Struthio camelus: one gene and its partners. Each later gene encodes a partner of the first gene's protein in a complex. Links are inferred from orthologs where the notes say so. Each region holds a gene or a part of one and is shown in the gene's direction. Other genes may lie near its edges.

Evidence for each region. The genes of interacting proteins can lie anywhere in the genome.
Region 2: CHCHD6 (region 1) and MICOS13 share a complex: the UniProt entries of both Homo sapiens proteins name them as parts of the mitochondrial contact site and cristae organizing system (MICOS) complex. The link is inferred for Struthio camelus from reciprocal best matches to the Homo sapiens genes CHCHD6 and MICOS13.
Region 3: CHCHD6 (region 1) and APOOL share a complex: the UniProt entries of both Homo sapiens proteins name them as parts of the mitochondrial contact site and cristae organizing system (MICOS) complex. The link is inferred for Struthio camelus from reciprocal best matches to the Homo sapiens genes CHCHD6 and APOOL.

What each region holds. Positions count from the first base shown.
Region 1 is NC_090955.1:7,730,280-7,737,272, forward strand, and holds the start of CHCHD6 (MICOS complex subunit MIC25), read left to right. Parts: upstream 1-3,977; 5' UTR 3,978-4,001; coding exon 4,002-4,199; intron 4,200-6,993. UniProt on the Homo sapiens protein: Component of the MICOS complex, a large protein complex of the mitochondrial inner membrane that plays crucial roles in the maintenance of crista junctions, inner membrane architecture, and formation of contact sites to the outer membrane.
Region 2 is NC_090967.1:7,958,768-7,966,366, forward strand, and holds the start of MICOS13 (MICOS complex subunit MIC13), read left to right. Parts: upstream 1-4,596; 5' UTR 4,597-4,695; coding exon 4,696-4,724; intron 4,725-5,919; coding exon 5,920-6,076; intron 6,077-6,827; coding exon 6,828-6,879; intron 6,880-7,599. UniProt on the Homo sapiens protein: Component of the MICOS complex, a large protein complex of the mitochondrial inner membrane that plays crucial roles in the maintenance of crista junctions, inner membrane architecture, and formation of contact sites to the outer membrane.
Region 3 is NC_090952.1:17,433,032-17,440,079, forward strand, and holds the start of APOOL (MICOS complex subunit MIC27), read left to right. Parts: upstream 1-4,045; 5' UTR 4,046-4,178; coding exon 4,179-4,190; intron 4,191-4,232; exon of another isoform or gene 4,233-4,357; intron 4,358-5,125; exon of another isoform or gene 5,126-5,307; intron 5,308-5,928; exon of another isoform or gene 5,929-6,305; intron 6,306-7,048. UniProt on the Homo sapiens protein: Component of the MICOS complex, a large protein complex of the mitochondrial inner membrane that plays crucial roles in the maintenance of crista junctions, inner membrane architecture, and formation of contact sites to the outer membrane.

The sequences.
Region 1 (6,993 bases):
GACTGTGTGCATCTCTTCCCCAACTCTCCTGTTCCTGAAGAAGAATATTGAGGTAAGAGTTTTTTAGGAAATCCTCATGGAGGGAACAGTGCAGTGATAGTTTGGATCATGCAAAACACTGCTACTAGGTAGTAGCATTTGCTACCAGGTGTTTCCACTGTAAGGAAAGAAACAGTTTGGATAAGAGCACAAAGTGCATATTGGTTGCCAAAACTATGCAGGCCCTTTGCTTATCTTCTTAGTTAATGAGCAATGCAGCCTCTCTGTTCTGCTGCCTGTAGACTTTGCCCTGCAGGCTTCCAAGTAGCATTGACACCTTAAAAACAAAAAACCTCCCCTCAGTTTTAAATACATTTTTTTTTTTTTTAAATCTACTTTTAAGGAAAAAAGGCTTCCGTTTGTCCATATGTTTGAGCTGAGTTATACCATGTGGTTCAACAGCCTTTCACATTTCTCCTCCGTGCAATGACTGTGTAAAGGGTGGACAAGCAACTGGCCAGGTGAGCTTTTTGCCGCACAGAAAAATGTTCTATGCTCCTCCCATCATTTGCTGTGAATCGGCCTGAGCCACACTTACTTGCTTACTGTAAAAGGGATGGATGACATGGTCTCTGAATTGCCCTGCTGCTGCTCCTAATGCTGCTCAGCTACACCAGTAGTGAGCTGCTGTTAGCCACTACGGGGAAACCTGCAAAGCTTCCCTGGAGCTGGTGGGCCTTGGACAGGGCCAGGAGATGTGGAAGTCTTGAAGCAGTTCAAGAATAAAGGAGCAAATGCTTTCCCATCCCAAGGAGTATTTGCTGCCTCTTGAACACCTTGAATTTGAAAGGACTTGCCTGCCCTCCTTGGTGATGTGAAGAGCAGGTTATGAATTTGTCTTTTTATCGGCTAAATTCAGTGCTGAAGGATCGCCTTGGTAGGTGGTCAACATGTCCATCCTCTCCTTTGTTGGCAGGACTCCAGTGTTTCTGGAGCGTCCCACATTCTGCTGCTGAGGAGTTTCTGCACTAGGTCATGGACTGACCTTCCTCTTGTTGTATTTTTATGTATATAAATGCCTTGGGCCATATTCACAATGGTCCTTGAGCAGAAGTGTGTTATGTGTTTGTGGGGGGAGGGAGATGCAAAGAGACTAAATATAGAGTAAATGTATATTTTTTGTTTGTAAAATAAAGAAATAAAATTAAATTTGGCATAAATAGTCCTACTTTCTCTCTCAAGTGACGCATGTTAAGGGGGAAAATATTTTTGGAATTTTTTCTTTTAAAAAGCAAAAGATAAAACCCTGAACAAATATGGTGGATATTAATGGAATGACAGAGCTGGAGACTTTGGGTTCTTGGAAGTCTATTACTAGGACAGCAGCTGACAGTGCAGAGAGTGGTCTCCAGGTCTAAATAATTAGTGAAGCTCTGACTCTTCCTGTTAACTAGATCTTGCTGTTCCCTGGCATGTCCGGCATCAGGGATCTCCGCTATAGGCCAGTCTTTCTTGCTTGGAAAGGGGCTCGTGTGGAACTATGAGTTGACTGTTGTACGCTTTATTTTTCCTTTGGGCTTTGAAATGAACTCCACTTAAGTATTTGGACCAATTTTTCTGGCTGTACAGGGGACAGTAGCCTGATGTAACAGCTAAGAGCTGGCAGTAGCCAGCACCTGTCAGCCGCTCTTTGGTGGAGCATACAGGCTGGGGAAATGGAGTAAGCTTTGTCTCTAGCCTGAGAGTTAAGTCAGGTCTTTGTGCAGTAAAGCCTACTAGCCTTACCTTACCAAGCTCCTGCCAGACTACCTGCAAAAAACTGTAGGGGTTGCCCGAGGGACGCTAACCACAGGAGTTAACTTGACAGCATCATCTGCTCCTCTTCACATGGATAAGGGAAGGGTTTGAGTTACTGTACAGGTGCTCTGCCACCATCGCAATTGCTTCCACCTCAGTATTCTCAGGCTCTGGGAGATCACAGAAAGGCACAGCTGTAGGTCTGAATTGTGTTTTTGTTTCTTTGCACGCTCCCCCTCCTGCTATGTTTGCATCCTTGCAGATGTTGCCTGGCACCTGGCTGGAGTTGTACCTGGAATTACTCCTGGAAAAGGCCTAAGGAAGGGTGACAGAATAATTAAAGTTGCGGGTTGTAGGAGAAGCAATTACACGATTGAGAACTCATCAGCTTGGAAGAGCAAGAGTAAAGGTCTCTGAAATCCTGAGAGGACAGAGGAGGTGAACAGGCAATGACTGTTCAGGGGCTCTTTCAGTACAAGAACTGGGAGCCATCAAATGAAATTGGTGGGTGGCAGATTAAAAATAAATGAGAGGCTGTGAGAATATTCTGGGAGGAATTGCTATGCTCTTGCCTCACTCATGCTTTCTCCTAGATATCAGCTGTTGTCCCTTTCAAAAGCAGAGTTTTGGCTTAGCCAGACCTGCTCTCTGACCCTGCGCAGCATTTCTATGCTGCAGTGCAAATAGCTGATAGTACCGTTTTGTAGTGCTCTAGTCTTGAGAGGTCAAGCAATAAGCAAAGTCTGCAATGTGCTAGGTGTTAACCCAAGTAACAGAAAAATATTCTTCCCTTTCAGTAATATGCTGCAGGCCTGGATTTCTTGGGGAGGGAGTGGGGATCCTTCCTTAGACCTGGCCGGAGTCCCATTGCTGAGCCAAACCGGTGGTTTCCATGTTAATTATAGTGAAGGGTAAGCATTAAGCACAGTGAAAGCTGTTCTAACACACAACTAGTAAGTAGGAAAGCAGTGTGTCGATAGCAAGGCTTCAGTAAGTGTCTAGCTACAAATGCACAGAGTTGTATAGGGCATGATGTAGCCTGTACTGCTAGGAAAAGCTCCTCCAAAAGCTACTATCTCTTGCTCCGGCTGCTTGTGTTTTACATTATCTTCTTTCTCTTTCCCTTCATTTAGCCTGCAGCTTCTAAGCGCTTGGAGGCAGGGTCTGTATCCTGCTGAGGGTTTATATGACCTGGAGCACAGTGCGATGCTCTCATCTACATGGCACCTGGGAACGTGCCTGTCATAGCAAGGAACGTTACAACTGTTAAGTCTTTGCTGGCTTAAAGGAGATGATTAATTTTGCCTGCAAAGCAGCTGCCATAAAATTGACTGTAATTCTTATTGACTGTAGCCTATGTTTGTTTTTCATCATCAGAGAAACGTGAGCTGCGCTGGGGTGATGACGCATTCCCTCAACAATTATGGAGAAAAGGTGGATAGAGAGGGACACGGGGTGCGCCGGTGGGGTGGAGGGGGATGCCTGTGCTCGGCGCCGGAGGTGGGCTCTCATGGGGCACGGGGCCTAGACGGTGAGGGGGGAAATTGCCTGGACCCCCGTAAGGGCTTGTCGCCCTGGGGATCTTCCACAGCCGGCAGCATCTTGGTCGCGTGCAGTGGGTGCTCGTCTGTCTCGTCCAATTTCCTGAATCTAAAGGAATATCTTAAAGTATAAGCTCTATGCTTTCCACTTTTATTCATTTACTGTGTGCTAATTTGGGCTTCTTTGCTGTTTTCCTCTGCTAATTTTTGCCCAGTAAAGAAACCCGTTATATTGGCGTATCAAAGTGAAAGTGTAAGGGGTAGTATGATAAAAAAGTGGGCAAGATCGGCACCTCCACTCCCGAGGGGAAGCTGCAGGAGAGCCGAGGGGCAGAAATTGAACCTGAACGTGCTTTGGTGCAGATTGTTTACTGCTGAGGGTAGCTTTTTCCAAACTGATGTGCTAGGATTGTTATTTTTAACTCCTCCTGAAGCAGTTTGAGTTTTTAGGGGAGGGAGGTTTGCCTGGCACAAGCGACGGAGGGCCAGGTTTGGGAACGCGGCTGTCTGCTGCATCTCCTGGGCTCGCCGCGGAAGGACGGCGCCGGCAGAGCCCCCCGGGGCCCCCAACCCGGGCGGCGGCCGCCGCACGAGACTACAACCCCCAGCCTGCACCGCGCTGGCCGCCAGCAACGCGCCGCGCTATTGGCCGCCCCCGGAGGCAGCCACCAATGAGGGGCGGGTATGTTGGCAGGCGGCGGAAAGGGGGGCGGGGAGCGGTGTTGCTCGCAGCGGCTGTCCCGGTGTGAGAGGGGGGGAGACTCCCCCCCCCCCCATCTCCTCCCCGTTGGCATGGGGGGCAGCGAGAGCAGCCACGGCAGCAGGAAGGTCTCCTTCGGGCTGGATGAGCGGGAGCAAGTCCGGGTGCTGCAAGGCATCAGGGTGAGACGGCCTGGGAGTACTGTGGAGCCTGGGGGGGCAGAGGGGTTGGGAGGGGAGAGGGGCGCTGGGGGGCAGAGGGACTGGGGGAGAGGGGTTGGGAGGGGACAGGGGGTCTGGGGGACAGAGGGGCCTCGGGGAGAGGGGCTAGGAGGGGAGAGGGATGTCAGAGGCCTAGGGGAAAGGGGCTGGGAGGGGAGAGAGGGTTTGGGGGGTAGAGGGGCCTCGGGGAGAGGGGCTGGGAGGGGAGAGGGGGTGGAGGAGGAGGAGGTCGAAGGGGAGAGGGGCCGGGGGGCAGAGGGGCCTGGGGGAGGGAGGCTGGGAGGGGAGAGAGGAGTCAGAGGCCTAGGGGAAAGGGGCGGGGGGGGGGAGAGGGGAGCCAAGAGGCTGGAGGAGAGGGGCTGGGAGGGGAGAGGGGTGTTGGAGGGCTGGGAGGCAGAGGGTATCAGAGGCCGGAGGGAGACAGACTGGGGGGAAGCAGGTGCAGGGGAGAGAGGTGCCAGAGGCCTGGGGGGAGGCTTGGTTGGGGGCTGCATGGGGCAGGGAGCTGGCCTGAGGGAGGTGCTGTTGGGGGCAGCACTGGTTGAACTGAGGCAGAGCAGGGCGGGGAGGTCTAGGGATGCAGTATGTGCTGCAGGAAGGAGTGAGTGGGGAAAACCAGCAAGGAAGAGGGAGGAGAAGTGGAAGGCAGCGCTGAAGGGAGTGGGTAGTGGCAGTGAAGAGGGCTGACTGCTGGAGTTTGGCCTTTCCTGAGAGATGAGATGCTAATCCTTTATCCTCTTCCAAATTTTGCTCTCGTCTCTTTCCCCTTCTCCTTACTGCTTAATGTGCCCTTCACTGCCACCTTCTGCTTTGCAAGCAATTTGATGCTAAAAGGTGGAAGCACTGGCTGGCTCTGAAAGCATCCAAGAGGAGAGCTGCCTGCCCTTGAATAATATTACCTAGACCCTTAATGAAGCACGCAGGGTGATAAGAGGTTGTGGGGATTGGTGAGGAGTAGGGGTGCTTCTAGAAGGGCCAGTGGGGAAGCTGCTTCTTGAACTTTGATTTGAACATCTACCTATGTGTGTCATGAAAACCAGCTCTAGAAAGAGGTGATGGTATTATTCTTTTTGGTGCCTTTTTTTCCCCTCTGTTTTTTTTTCTCCCTGTTTCTCTTTAGCTATTTCTACTTTATTTCTACCATGATTCTCAGTGTTGTTGCTTCTTTATACTTCTATCTACTTCTTATTCCCCTTCCTAAAATTCCTCTGAAATGAGTTTGCAGAGTGAGTTTTGCTGTGGTTACTTATTTTTCCCCCACAATCAGTCACTTGACAGACGTTAACTAGAATTGTGCTAAGTCTCCCTTTACAGGTGCTTTCAGGTAAAGTCGTTCTTGCCTCATTTCTCTTTGCAGTGTACAGGTGAGGCCCTTTCAGGGCTTAACTCCACCTGTCATATAAGCAGTAAAACAAATTGTTTTAATTTAGTTAGCTTCTCTGTCAGTTGCATAGTGATGGAACTAGAGAAAAATGTGGGTTTGCTGCTATAGGTTGTATATGACCTCTAGGAGCTCAAAATGAAGAGAGCACTATGTATCACATGATACCTGATTAGATTAAATGAGCTGTCGTCATCTTAGATCTCTGACTTCCTGAAGTAGAAATGTTTTATTCTTTTTTTTGGTTTTGTTTTGTGAAATAGAATAGTCATTCTTTGTTTTTAGAGTACCAAAGAGATTATTTGCTTTTTGTGGCTGTATATAAAAAGTAGTTCCACTGAATCTGCAGTTAACAAAGACTGGCTTCTTACAGCTTTTTGGTTTTAAAAGCCAGTTTCCATAGATGCTTTTTTCCCATATTCCTTTTGGACATCTCTCTCCGGGTGAGAGGGAGCATGTTCTCAGACTGACGCGTAGCGCTGTGTGTTAGCCTGTATGTGCGTGTTGGCTAACTGCAGAACGGCCACAGGCTAAGTCCTGTCTGTGGTTGCTTGTATGGGGTGTTAATATGGAACTCTTTCTTCAGCTCGCTGCTGATTTTCATAAAGTTTGTAAAGAACTGAATTATTTTTGAGATATCCACTACCTTTGAGGTTTAAGTTGAGCAGCAGTGTTATGTATTATTTGATAAGAATGATTTTTCCTTAAAAAGTTAGATTAAACTCTTAAACTCTTAAAATAAATAAGCACTGCCCCCAGGCTTCAAATATGACAGTTGGCACTTGGAGTTCATCCCCACCTGCCTGTCAGCCCCAGAGGAAGTAAGGGCGCTTCTCTAAAGCTGTGAATTTTGTCCTTGTCATTGATAAGACATCCTTACTGCCGCATGGTTTCTCTTGTAGTGGGTATTGTATGTCTGGGGCTATCTTTGTTCAGATCCTCTGACAGAGGTACTACGCATGTATATGTGTGTTTTGAATATAGCGAAAGTGTAAGGGGGGAGGGCAGAAGACCCAAGAAGTTGGCATGGTAAGTGAAGACGTTAGCAATGCTGTTAGATATGGCAGCATCGACATCCACTTTGTGCTCAGTGCTGTCAGACTGTGGCTGGCGTAGGTAAGGAAACTCGATCTCATTTCATTTTGTTTTACAGTTTTTTGGCAGCACAGAGACACTGACCGTGGTGCAAAAGAAGGGGTCAATCTTACAGTGCTGTGAAAAGCCCCTTGGACTGAACTTCTAGGAAAGTTTGAGTTAGCTTTACCTTCCTTTTCCTGGATTGGGACCCAAGTAAGGGAGCGGGAAATAAAGTTCAGGTCGCAAAACTGGTTGCGGCCTTATGCGAATAGGAGGGTTGTGCAGTTGTTCTCCATC
Region 2 (7,599 bases), on another chromosome or scaffold:
GAAGGGAACTTTGCAAGGGTCCCACAGCAGCAGTACAATTTCCCCTTTCATTGCACAGCTGCCAAGGCTCAGCTTGTACCTCTGCACCCAGCCCCAGCTCAGCTGCTACAGCTGGTTCACCTTTCACACAGGCTCAGCAACTTCTCTTTTCCCTCCTCCCCACCCCAGCACCATCCCAGAGAAAATGGGCTATTTATGAGGGGCCAGAGGTAGGAAGAAGGGGGGGGGGGGCTGCAAAATATTACAGGGAAAGAAATTCCTCATGGGTGGAATGTGTGCAAGATTAATGGGGCCCTTTATGCTTCCTTTGTATGGCTTTGGAAAGGGAAGGTTCCTTGCACTAAGGAGCAAAAACATTACAGTCCCTGCTGGAAATGCGGTCTCCACCCTTAGCTTCACTAAGCAGGGGATAGCAAGGGAAAACAGGTTCTGCACAGAAACCTTTTGTGACTGATTTATCCCTTTTCTTTCAAGTCCCTTTTCTTTAAGTCTTTTCTTTCAAGTCCCTGTTGACATGTATGCCACAGCCTGAATTAAAGGCCAAAAGGTCTTGTGCTGTCATTTACAGCAGACAAATTTAATAGACACTAAGCCCCTGCATCCTTGTCTGTACAGGTGAATACTCATTTTAGCCCCCCCACTCCTGGCTATGACTCTAGGTCTTGGGCTGATGGCTAGTGCACCTAAGCAATGGCTCCACATCTGTACATTTCTGTGGAAAGCTCCTTTTGAACTCCCCCAACCATGCTGTTCCTAGCAACATTTACCCCTAGACCGTGGACCTCTGTTACCAGAGCCTCCAGCAATGGCCATCTCAACAGAGCCATTGCCATCATCTCCTGTTTCCATGACAATCGTGAAGGCAGTTAAGAGGCCATGGTTGTCACTGAGGGGAACCATGGGAGATTGTACCCAAATTCCCATGCAGTTGTCCCATAATGTTGAGCTCTGCTTGTGTATGTATGTGTGGTGAAGATATCTATTTTGGGGGTGGGATTGTGTTGTATGCATTGAATATCTGTGCATGTGGGATGATATATACAGGTAGTATAGCCACCAGTCTTACATGTGGTGAATGCCTTTGGACATGCAGGAAGAGTGGTTGTTGTGCTGCAATAAAGACTGATGGAATCAGCATGCGCCTCTGCATTGCACATTTGCAACTGGCATGTGAGAACACAATCGTGTCTGGTGGGTATTACTGTACGTGCCTGGCTCTAGTGGAGCGTATGCTGCATCTGTGCACAGGCTTGTGTGTTTGCTGACCTGTGCTGCATGCTGGCCATGAGCAAAGAACTCAAAAATGAAAGCATCTCTTCCACTCTGATGAACTCCCTTGGATTGCAACACATATCTCATTCTGTCTGTGTTCTCCATGCTTTTCCCCTTCCAGTTTGATTCCCCTGCAAGCTCCTACGTAGCTGCTTTGTGTTAGCTGAGCCTGTATTCAGCTCCCAGTAGAACTGGCCCCTATCCCTGCTCAGGTTCAGGTGCTAGTAGCAACCACAGCAGTTTCCTCCGTGAGGAGACTCTCTCATACTTTCTTCAGTCCTCTGCTCAAAAAGTCCCTAGACACATAAAATCCCAACAGTTTCTCCAGCCAAGGAAAGAACAATTCTGTCCCATTTTGGTGAAGAGTTACAAAACACTTTAACTAAAGGGGCTCTCCAAGCAAATTTTAGCTATTGAAAACAACTATGATATAAAATCAACAAAAATATTATTCACCAGTCTTTGCTGCAGAGACCAAAACAAGGCAAGGTCCTTTTATTGTTGCATGCCCACACATGCACATACATGTTAATTCTCACATATTCACACACCTTCCTGTTCAGAGACAGCATCTGGAGGAAAATATGAGGTTTAAATCAAGTTTATCCTTCCTACAGAACACTTCATAACTGCTCCGTAAGCCACAGCAGCCTTCATGCTATTGTGCTGGGTGTTCCACTTATATCCCCAAAACATCCTCACCCAGGGGACCAGCCTTAGAAGGCAGGCTTGGAGCAAAGCCTGTGAAGACCCTGGTTCCCCTTCTCCCAGAACCATGCTGATGGGTTTGTGAAAGCAGCAGGTTGGGATACTGTTTAGCCCACTATTTGAACCTGTTTCCATAGAGCTGCACCCATCTACCTGCTGATGGTACTCTCAAGCGAGTCAGAGACAAGCTCATCCTGATAAGGAGACTGAATATGTGGGGTCTTGAAGCTGAGCGCCCCAGCCAAAACGCTGTAATCTCCTTCCTCTGATGCTACGAGCCAACCTGTGTGAGGTATATAAAGTCTTTCTGTCCTGCATATATGTGAGGTGCTGGGTAGAACCAGGAAGAGTCACGAGATTCTACCTGAGAAGTCTCTCCGCTAAGAGCCAAAGTCATCTTCGGCAAGAATGGAAGAGGGGGAAGGACATGGACTCTCAATCCTTTGACGAGAGGCTGCAAAGCAATTGCTTTTCCCTGTTGAAGAAAGGGGGCACCACAGTCCTGAAAATGGTTTGCATTCATCTAACAAAGGTGGAACCAAAGGCAGTGGAACTCCCTGTCCAGAGCAAGTAACCTTAACAGGATGAAAACAGTAAAGCTGCAGGGCTGGAGGCAATGAAGTCTGCTGGGAGCCAGAGATGGCAGAAAACAGGTCTGGAAGGATCCTCCGGAAATCATCTCATCCATCTCCCTGCCTTTCTCAGCTACTGTTTTCACAGCCATTCATTTGCTTCAGGGCATCTAGTCTGTCCTTCTGTCTGTCCCAAATGAACTGGACAGAGGTAATTGTTTTTAAAATGTCTGTCCCTAATGGAACACTCCACAAAAACTTGTTGAGTCAGCACAGATTCCTCATTTAAACCCCGATTTGAAAGTCTAATTTTACAGTAAATGCCTTCTGCAATTTGCACTGCTGCATTCTATTTCATATTCTTGCAGACATATTTGACATAAAAATACATCAAATCTGAAATGAACTAAACAATCATCTTTTTCCCCAACACCATAGATCATCTGCAGCTGTCCACAAAAATTTAATATGGAAATAAAATCACACTAACATTTACATGTTCTTTTCCATGCTTACGGATCCCAGCATGCAAGCCGCATGTAAAATGAAACATGAAGCAGGGAAAAAGGTGGAGGATTTAGTTCTGTAATTCTCTCTCTTTAGAATTTGTCCTGCAAAAGGAAAATTCAAAACTTAAGTCAGCATTGGAACTTACTAAATACTAACAACATTCACTTACCAAGGTGAGTATCATTAGCCAATATCATTTCTCTATATTTTCTGAGTTCTTTTTCTGTCTTTAAAAATTCTTTTGCAGCCAGAGCAGTTAGACACAGTGAACACAGGAGGAATTAAGTTTTCAGCAGTTCCAGAAGCTGCCCTTCTGCTAAACTCACTTCATCGACTTCCACAGCTCTGCAAACGTGTTTAAAACTAGCTTACTCTCTCCTCTGTTCTTGTGCGAAAGACTCTGGCAGACACAGGGAAAGAAGATAGGAAAAATGCAATCAGATAAACTATCTTGGTGAGGGAAAAAGAAAGTTAGTGCTCAGTATTCCTCTTTGTTCCCTCTCCCCTTAAACGTTGAGCAATGCAATGGTTAAAATTCACGCAGGGAAGCAGGAGAGTCGGAGCCTTTGGGCTTTGTAGCGAGAGCCTCATTTTGAGACATGGCTGCCTAACCGATATCCTCCCAACCCTAATGACATGTTTACTAACAGCTTGCTCCTGTGGTCGATGACACGGAACTCCGCACCCCAGGAAAGCGCCGCGAGGACAGGAAAAGGCAGTTTGTACACACACCACCCTGGCGAGCACAGAGCCGAGGCTCCGATCCCGCTGCTGACCAGCATGTGCTCCTTCAGGCACACGCGCATCCAGTAAAGTAAGTAAAGCAGCTGGTGCCTACTTTAAAACGCGACTGCTGGATGGGGACTAAGACCTAGGCCAGAGCCAAGGCCGCAGGACAAAGTCCCCTCACCCTGTGCGGCCTGACAAAATGACACATTTTGGGACGAAGGCCTTGGTGCAGACTGATAAAAATGCAGCACAGATTCAAGCGTTTCATCTGCTTAAATATGTGTATCAATAAGCAGTTAGTACACTTCTAGTCCAGGCTGATCTTCCCCACCAGCATTGCCTAGTTCCCAGCTGTTTGCGCAAGAGGGAATCAACCCGCAATTCACCCATTCAGAACTGCAGCGCTCCACACACAACCGTATCCGCGCTTTTCACAACGCTTCATCCTTACTCGATTCTGCACCCCCCAGACGCGCCGTGGAAATTCTGCAGCTGTTTCAGGTAAATGATTAAAGATGAAAGCAAGCAATGCAATCGGTCCTGCGCACCCCCTGTTTTGATTTAATTACCGCAGCCTCCCCCGAGCGCCGGGACCCGCCTTCACTCCGCGGCGCCGCCCCTGCCGCCATGACAGCTACCGAGGCGGAAGTGCCTTCCCTGCTGGTCTGAGGAGACAGGACGGGCGAAAGGAAGCCCAACCGAGTCCTCCTACGAGTCCTTCTCCTTTTCAACCGTTCTTCTTCTGCGCGGGAGGTGCGCCCCCCACTGCAGAGAGAGGCGGAGGGCGAACGCTTCTCGCCTCGGTAATGATGGCCGGGGCGGCCGGGGCCGCCTGGCCACGTGACCAGCTCCCGACGGCCTCCGCGGCGCGCAGCGGCCAGCGTGCGCTGCCCTTGGCGGAGCGATGGCCGCCAGGCTGCTTCCCGTCGTCAAGTGAGTCCCGCGCGCGGCTGCCGCCCGCCCCCGCCCGCCCTTTACCGCTTCTCGGTCCGGTCCGCGCCGGCCCGGCCCGGCCCGGCCGCCCGACTGCCGCGGGCCCGCCGCGGCCCTGCCCGCGCCGCGCAGCTCGTTGCCCTTGATCCTGCCCGCGCCGGCCTCGCCCTCGGCCCGGCCGCTGCCTGGCGCCTCCCCAGACGCCTGGCGGGAGCCTGGAGACCTTCCCGCTGCGGGCGTAGACGCATAAAGTAAACCCTGGGAAGGCCCCGGGGGTACTTGGTTGCCGAGGGAGCCCTTTCGGGCCTGGATGTGCCGCCCGCTGGAAGGGAGAAGTTGTGGAAGGGTGTGTTGGGAGCGAGCAATACATCTTAATCAAAGAAATCCCCCAAATGCTTGTGAATAGCCGGGTTTAACTATCGATTCGCTCCTTCCTCTCTTAGTGGCTGTAGCTATTAAGTGCTCTGCTGTCGTGGTACTGCTCTCTGGCAAGTTCTCTTTTTGCCAGGTGTGCAATTGCTGTTTTTTCAGAGGGGGAAATGCTCTCTGCCCTGTGAATTTTTGGAAAGATGTTGTCTCTCAGGTCTCTTATTTATAGTGAAAAAATAATTAAGGATCAAATATTTTCTTCCACTTTGCGAGTTGCCACTAGTGTTTTCACACCATGTGCTGCACTGGGAAGCTTTACAGGCACAAGCAATGCAGGAACAGGCATGGTCAGATGCTAACTGGACTGTAATGAGCTTAACAAAAGATTGGTGTCTGTCAAGGTAATCTGTGTAGTTATTAGCCAGGCAACAAGAACCATCATAAACATGGATTTCTTACCCACAGCTAAATCTGTTAGTCCCTTTTTTCAAGAGTTTATGTCATAATTCTCAGACTTTCCAAAGTGGCACATATTTAGAGAGTTTTGACAATTTCACCTTTTTTTCTTCACAAGTGTCACTGATGATATGTGAACTGGGGTACAGTTTCAAGGGGCTGACTGGGAATATTTGATCTAGGAAAAAGGGGAGGACAGCTAGCTATCTTTCTGCTGTTTTTTGACACTAATAAGACATCACAGTAAAACATTTGTGACCTTCTAACTGCTCTTTCAACCCTGTTCCTTTGCGTGTCACAACCTGCTGGGAAAGGTGCACTGATATATATAATGTGAACTGACCTGTTCACGTGCTTTTAATTCTTTCAGGTTTGTCATCAAAGGAAGCCTGGCTGGAGCAGCTGTATACGTGGCATATGATCAGGGGCTGCTGGGCAGTGGCACACAAGGTGCTGAAGCCCTCAAAAAAGCTCAAGAAGCACTTCCTCCAGCTATCCAAGAATGGACAAATTACATAGGCTGGGAGGTAAGGACTGTGCAGGTGAATGTAGTTAGCAAACCATACACATTCTCTGAATGAAAGCACTGGGAAGGTATTCTGGTTCCAATGACGTTGACGAAAGTTTTGCCGTTGAATCTGGATTTCACGCTGAGAATGTTTTGAGGAGGATTGAAATGGAAGAAGGATACAATTTTAAACCTAGAGGAGAGCAATTGGTCATAGATCTTATTTGAAAGAAGAGATAGAAAGCCTATGCAGGGATATTTCACTATGTAGTGGTATTCCTAAGCTTTTTATTGGAGTATCCTATGTGCTTTTCAAAAATTAATGAAAAGATTCTCTTCCTTAAAGAACTGTTTTTGTCAAGCTCCTAACAGTCAAGTTGGATGCAAATTACCTGAGTAGTCCATTGTCTTTGAGCAGTCCTTAGTTTTTTAAATCTCTCAGACTAGGAGAAGCCTTTGAAGGTTTGAAAATCATTTTCCATGTTGGAGATTATAATGTAACTGTAAGGAGACAGCTACTTAAGTAATTGAGTGGATGTGTTTTCAAGAGCACCCAAAGGATGAATACTGCCTTCTGCCCCTGCTTTATGCTGTGGGAAAGGTTACTTCGAGACTTTAAGCCACATGTCTGATCCCTTTTGAGACTTAGGACGACTGGGCACCTAAATGTCTTTGAGATCTGAGTTCAAGAGGCTTCTCCAAGGTGATGTGGATTGTGTTATAACTGAAACTCCCAAATGCTGATATTTTGTCTCTATTTCTTTTTATAGCTTCCACCCACTCCAAAATTTGACTTTTCTCCCTCTGACTCCTGGAATAAAGGTAAAATAATTTTTCAGCAAACTGTGAAATGGAGTAAGGGGCTAAAAGTGATCTTATCCTGAAGTCTTGTTTTGATGTTGTCCTCGTAAAGTGAATGGTGAAGAAGGGGTGATAGATACTATAATCTGGTGAAAGGAGCATTGGACTGGGACTAAGGAAGTGTATTCTGCTCCTATTCTACCATTAGCCCACTAGGTGACTTTAGGCAGTTCACTTCATTTCTTGATACCTCGATTTCCAACTATGAAGTGAGGAGGAGGAGATGTGCCCATAAACCTGTCTGCCTTTTCCAACTGGAGGAGCTAATGTTTCTTCTACCTACAAAACTTGCTTTACCTGTGTCCCAACACAGGTATGCCTACGCTATGCCACAACATGAGATTGAATGTTTCAGTAGTGTTTGGGAGTCTGTGGTCCCATGAGAACTAGATACAGTTTATGCACCAGTAGGGTAAGTTCATCATTGCAGATATTGATCAGGGAAACGAGAGCGTAAAAAGAAATGATCACTTATTTCTGAGAATGCTGAATCTTTATGTAAGGTTGAAGGGTGTATAAATTCTTAATACTACTAGTATGTCTGAATTCAACCTCTGATCTTTTCAAAAGGGATGAGTGTTCTTGTTACTGCTAGAATTTTAGAGAGGACAAAGCATGTTATAAATATCTTGTAAGGTAATTCAGAATTTTTATGGTGCAGCAAATAGTCCTCATGTAATT
Region 3 (7,048 bases), on another chromosome or scaffold:
TTAGTTTTCAAAATAGGGAAATTGGGCATTTATAGGCAAGAATGGCACAGGTCATAGTGACGTCTTTGTCTTTGAAGTGCAGGTTTGTAGCAGACTTTCCACATACCACATGCCTTAGACCACTGAGCTTATAATCTCCTTAGAGATAAGCTCTGTTCCATATTGCCAAATAATGTTTATTTACCCATAGTACAAAAAATGGGTAATAACAGGAAAGATTTAAGGAGCAATATTAGCTAAATATTAAGTAACATAAAGTTCTTTTCCTTCTAGAATATTTTCCTCATTAAACCTAAGGTTCAGAGTAGCTTTTTCAGGCACCTAGGTTCCCCCTCTGCTTTTATCCCAGATGAATTTATACTGTGTGACTGAGGCTCTCAACAGGTGCTTACTTGATAGGCATCTAAAAATCAAACCTGAGCCATACTATCAGGTGATGAACGGAAAATACATTGTTACTTAAGATCAAGTCGTATTTTCTCAGTTGATATTTGAAAAACTATTTCCTTAACTCCCATAATATATAAACATAGTACTTTAATTCTGATCAGTTCCATTCACTAACGTACAGGCAACCGATTCTCTATTCTTGACATAACTAACAGATGAGGAAGCATTTTTTAATGGAGACTTACTTTCTGCATGTTACAGTTGATACCATACTTCCATATTTAGAAGAAGGATTAAAATAAATACTAATATTTTTATCACTTTTTAAGATAGCTGATATACGACTGTGACCTAATAAAACTTAATAAAAGTATTAAAAACTTTTAAAAAGATACTGCCTGTCATTATCTTCCGGAAAAAAAAATTGTATTTGTGCTTAATGCCGGCCAGTCTTGAGGAGACATTTATAACTTGTTTACTTTTATTCAGATACATACAAGCAGTAGATGTGACAATTAGGGACTTTGCTGTATGCATTAATACTACTGTCTGAGCAGTTTTTGAAAGAAAGCTATGTTGTACAAATGATAAAATACATGGACAACTATATCGTTTGACCAGAAATGCCCACTAGCTTCTGTCCTCACGTTTCTAGAATATTACTCATTCTCAGGCATTGGTGAGGGGATCAATACAGACCTTTTTACTAACTGTAAATGCATCTGTCCGAATGCTGCAGATTAAATAAGGTTACCACATTATACATACTAGCTCTATTACATTTTTTCACTAGCAACCACAAAACAAGTATGTCTTAATCAACAAATCTTGTTCACTGGCCAAAATAACAGTGAGACCCTGTTACCACTTAAGACTTCTGTTTTACTGAGAAACAAGGATTTCAACTCTAAGAATCTAAAAAGCAGGTTAGGTTACAAGAGAAGTGCACTAGTATTAATGAACTTTTTACATTTGACACATACTGTATTACAAAGAAAATATCCTTGTAAAAGACCATTAATTGCTGGGCCATAGGTGACTTCTGTCTAGTTTACTAAAGTAGCTAATAAAACTTGTATAGAGAGCCTTTTTTAGATACTGCTTACATGTATGAAAATGTTTGACACCCTTGTACTATGGCTTGCACTTTACTTGCATTAAACTGTGAAGTAGGCTGTAGTAATGTCTTTGTATATTCAGGGGTTGAAATACCAAAGCACTAGAATGTCATACTGCTGGTATTCAACCTGTACTGTTAATTCAATCTGAACGTGCTCACAATGTGTATTTTGAAAACCCCACTAACTTAAAGTCTTTAGCAAATAATGCTATGGGGTCTCCATGGTCTTTTTTCTTTGTAAATAGAAACATTCTTACTATTTCTGTAGCAATAGGAGGTGATAAACCAAACTTTCACTAGGACTGTTTTCAATAACAAAAAATTCTATAGCGCCTTGTATAAAAATCATGGAGACTCCATGACTCGTGGGCATTTTTTGTTTACAAGCAGTATGTATATATGTGTTAGAGGCAGAACTGTTATTTATCACAAAGTTATGTTGTGGTTGATTCTTTCTAAAATAAATATATGTTTTCTGTCATTAAGAAAAATCAGTATTTTAGTAAGAGCCATCTTGAAAAGAAGTTTGAAGCCTCAAGTCTTCAAATATTGTTAGTAAATCTTCCATGTTTCAGCTTTGTTTATCTAATCAGCAGGGAGATGAACTGAGAGGTAATAGTAAACTATCTGTCTATGCCGGGGAAAATGTCTGAGTTATATCATAGTTCATGAATATTCTGAAATTTTTATATAATTACCATGATGCTTTAAGCCCTTTCATGAGCAGGTACTACACCCATACTGTAGTAAAGTCCCTCAGCTCATTGATGCTACAGAGACAGAAAATTAACTGCTGTAGACTAATACAGGTAAAACTAGGTTTCAACCCCTGGATAATACAGTATTTCTTCAGTTTCACAACAGTATTTTTAATTTTATACTTGTCTATGTTGAGAGATGATCCAATAGTTTATATAGGCAATGAATGTTAGGTTTCTTTTTTCCTCTTCAGATGAGTTCTGTGTGAATTACAGTAACTGGCTGCATTTTTTCTATCACAGATTAACTTGTTAAATTTTTGTGCGTCTACAATGAAAATCTATGAATGGAAAACTTCACTGTGTGTTGCTCACTGGGCATATACCTCATGGTACATTGCACAGACGTGTAAGTTGTAAGTTGCACTGCAACATTAAAAAAGGAACATATTGCTCTTTTTTCAAAGATATTAACTTATTTAAGAGATATAGTCTGTACATTATTTAAAAAAAACATTTATTCTTCCTAGATTCAAACAAAGCTTTTGTTTTGGGGAAAAAGTTGTAAACTTCAGTTGTAAATCTGGACTTCAATAAACTGAATTATCTGCACTTAACTTTTGTGCTTTTGTCTTTTTTTTTTCTTTGCGTTCTCTAATAACTATAATTAAGAAGATTAATCAAATTCAAGCTTCAGTCTTGGATTTGAATTGGGTGCCCATGAAGCTATAACCATTTGATGCAACTGGTGCTCTGAATTGTATTGACTCTATCTTCTGTTCTGTTGTAACAACTGAAACTTTGGCTGGTTAACATGAATAACCCTTCAGATAATTTTTCTAGCCATTTTCTTGGTCAAATCAAATAGTTTACATGAGTGTTTCTTTCCCTTTCGTGTTTTAAAATATGGATATTTAGGATTTGTACTTTTCTGACTAAAATACAATCTCCAATTCTGGCACTGATGTTATGGGGAGAACATCTTCTGTAAGTAAGAAGAAAACATACAGTTATCACAGAGATGTAAAACTTGTTGCATCAAAGACTGCTACAAGAATCTCTGAGTGTCTCTAAAGGCAGCATTCGGAGCTCATACTACCTAGCACCCTACAAACTGTACTTTTAAATGGCATGCACTTAGTAAATGCACAATTAGACAAAGATGAACTGAGCAGTGATTTGAAAGGTATCAGAGCAGAGCTGCTGTTATAGATTGTTCAGCAATAACTGTATATGCTTAGTCTTAGTCTTTGGATGTTAATTTTATTCCTGTTAAAATACCTTGAATGTTGAGGTAAAAGGAGAATTTGCTGCTTGAAGGAATTTAAGCATCTTGTAGTGTTTATAAAGTCCAGTAAAGGTTCCCAAGTGGCTCCTGAGAAATCCCACGCCATGTCTTCACGTGACTATGGTTAACGCAGAATTTAGGTCATGCTTCTTTGGACTGACGTGGGCTTATTAATAGGACAGTTACCTGCATTGTAACTAACGCTGCTGTTTAGTGCGTACAGAAGCCTTTTGCTTTGTTTTTCAGAGGAGAACGGGGACACAAGTGTTGGAGGCAGTGCTCCCTCCTGGGCCTAACAGTCGCAAGAAAGCTGCAAAATGTTAATTGGCTGGAAAAGGCAACGGCATCTGTAAACCTTCTCTAAGGGAAAAAGAGCCGACCAGCTTCAGCGGGTTCTGGGGCGGTGAAGTCCACGTTCCCCGACCTGCTGCCCCGAGGCCTCCGCGCTCCTGTCACGGCCGCCAGCCCGCCGTTAAACCGCCGCTTCCGGGCGCCACCTCCCCTCGGGGCCCCCTTCGGCCCCGGCGCCTGCCCTGAGGGTTCCGGGGCCGGCACCACCGGGCCCCGCCGCCGGCCCCCGGCAGCAGCCGCAGCCGGCCCGCGGCCCCGGCACGGCGAGCGCGGGCGCTCGGCCCTTCCCGCTCGCCGTACCCGGCCGCGCGCGGGCGGCGCTGTCGCTAAAATGGCGACCAAGGTGAGCGTGGCGCCCTGCGGGGAGGGAGCGCGGGGTCGAGGGAGGGAAGTGCTGCGGCGGGCCCCTCGGCCCGGCCTCCCTCCTGCCGCCCGGAGAGCCGCAGGGCTCGGGGGACGCCTGAGGCCGCGCCGCGCGGCTTCTCCACCGCTCGGGAGCCCTCGCCGCAGGTGCTGCCCGGCCTGCTCCCTGTGACGGCGGGCCCGGGCGCTCCTCGCCTCCCCGAACCGCTGAGGCCTCTTTCTGGGAAAGAGGAAGGAGCTGCCGGGCTCGGCTCCTCCGCCGGCGGGGCTGCCTCGGCCGCCGAGCCGTACTGTAAACTCGCCGGGCCGGCGCGGGGAAGGCTGCTGGGGCCGCCGTGCCGCGTGTCACGCTGCAGTGATGTTAATGCCCAGCGTGCTGCTCCCTCTGCACAGCCTCTCCCAGTGCTGCCTTGGGGGTGTCTCCACAGCTTCTTTGCTCCAGCATGGGTGGGATTAGACGGCTGCAATAACTATTTTGGTTGGGGAAATCCCTTCTGCCTGTTACTGAGCACTTAGATGAGAGAAGAGTAGGAAAGTAGGAGGTGTCAGTACCGCTTCTCTCCACGTAGAACTTGTGGTAGAAAGAGCTGGTTCCTGTGCGTGGTTAAATTGTAGAAGAGGGAGTAAAAAGCGTTGCTTTTCTGGTTTCCTCCGCCTTCTGAAATGCTTTAAAGCCCTCATTCGAGAGGTGGAATAGTATCCAGATACTTGTTTAGTAGTAGGGTCATAAAGCAGGGTAGTGGTATACATCACTAAAACAAGGATGTTAAAATCATGCCATTACAAGCTAACCGGGTCACAAATGTCTAAAATAGCTGTAAATGTACATAATATACTGTATGTAAACAGGGCAAAATGTACCTGCAGAGATGACTTTCTCTCAGATAATCAAACAGGTTTTCATCTGTTTCTAAGGAATAGGTTGCTTGCACACGAGTCTTCTTTTGCAAAGCAATTAAGATGTGTATATACCTGCAGAGGAAAAGATCATGCAGACAAAGGTAGCCAAGGGAATGAAGACGAACCCTCTTACAAGACGCACATAAGTGAAAAAAGAAGCTGTAATTGGCTTGATAGCATGTTTAGATGGTCTTCAGGTAATGTAGCTTAGTACATAAATTTGAATGATTCAGTATTGTTGGTCGAATGACATAATTTTCTGTGTATTGTTTATTATTTACTGTGAAAAATTTTTTTGTTCTTGTTGATTTTTCAGTCAGCATAGGTTACTCTCTGGCAGGCAAAGATTAAAAATAAATGTAGAGAGCATCAGTATGCTGAGGCGCGGAGGAACTGCAGCTGTTCCACCTATATGTCTTTTTTTCTATACTTGTTGTTAGAGGCCTGTAAATAAGTGCATATCCAAATTAAAATGTTGGATTTGGCCTAGAAGCTGCTAACAGTCCTCAAGCATTAATGTTGCAGTTTGCTGAGGTACCAGTGTCTCAAGTACATTGCAATTAGTAAACCTTTATTTACAGAAAGTAATAGTGATAAGTAATGCAGTATATACCTGAAATTATATGTGTCTATTACTGGTGAATGCTTCCATAAAATATTGCTGAGCAATGTCAGCCCTTTACAAAGTGTTAACTATTTTAAATTAAATTCTGTGGAGAAACAAAGCTCTTGTTGATGGTCTGAACGAGGATACAGTTTCAGTTAATAAGTTAACTCATCAGATATCTGACTGCAGCCAAAACAAACGTTCCTGCTTTGCCCCTGAGTTGTCAGCTCTGTTTTTGTCTCTCGCGATGGATTTTTTTTTTAAAAAGATACGGATTTCTGCTAATTTAACTGCTTAAGCCAGCTCACTGCAGGGACAGATGAGACACTAGCTGAGCAAGCTCTGAGGTAGGGAGGGAGCAAAGTAGAGTGGTACTACTACTCCTTTCGGTGACAGTGAACTGTATTTCGTTTAAATTACCTTTTGAAACCATACTTGATGCAGTAGCACAAATTTTACAATTTACTGTAAAACAGTAAATAACTAGCAGAGAGTTACGTTTAATTGTCTAATTAAAATTGTCACAGTCTGGACGGAATATGTTTGAATGCTGCCAAATTGCAAGATGCACGTGTGGAAACACAGAATGTAAGCTACCGAGAGTTTGAGAGTCTTCCTTGAAAAGCAGAGACTCAGAGCAGGACTTACTTATGATGACTTCTAGGTGCAAATATTAGTTTTCTTGTCATACTAGATTAAAGGGGCTCATGTAATACACAGGAGGAAGATCATCAGACAGAAACAAGGAAGGAATGTCATCTTTACGTTATTGTAGTACAACTTCTAGAATGTGCTGCGTATAAAACAAAATGTATGCAAAAGCGGTCTGGGGAAAAAGTCTGCAAAACTGAAAGTAATGTAGACAAGTTTAAAGAATCACTTGAATCACTCAAAAAAAATAGAAATTGGTTCAAAGGCAGTTTGGTGGCTTCATATACTTTGATGTAGAAGGAGTATCTGACTATAGGGCATGCATTAAACTTGTGAACAAAGTCAAAATAAAATATGCCATCTAAAAATTAAAACTAGACAAAAATCAGCCCTGATAGTCATCTATGAATTTGCTTTATTGCTTCAGAATTTGATATTCAAAATATTTTTTGTAATTAGAACCAGTTTAATTGTATACCGTATGAAAAGGTACGTTTTTTACACCTGCTTGCATGTAAAGTCACCTGATGCTTCTAATTTCTTTTTAAGCGTACAATTGGAAATTCTGATAAGATATTGGGGGGGGGGAAATTTACCCTGAAGGTGGTCAAATACTGGAACAGGTTGCCCAGAGATGTTGTAGAGTGTCCATTCTTCGAGTTATTCAGATCTCACTGAAG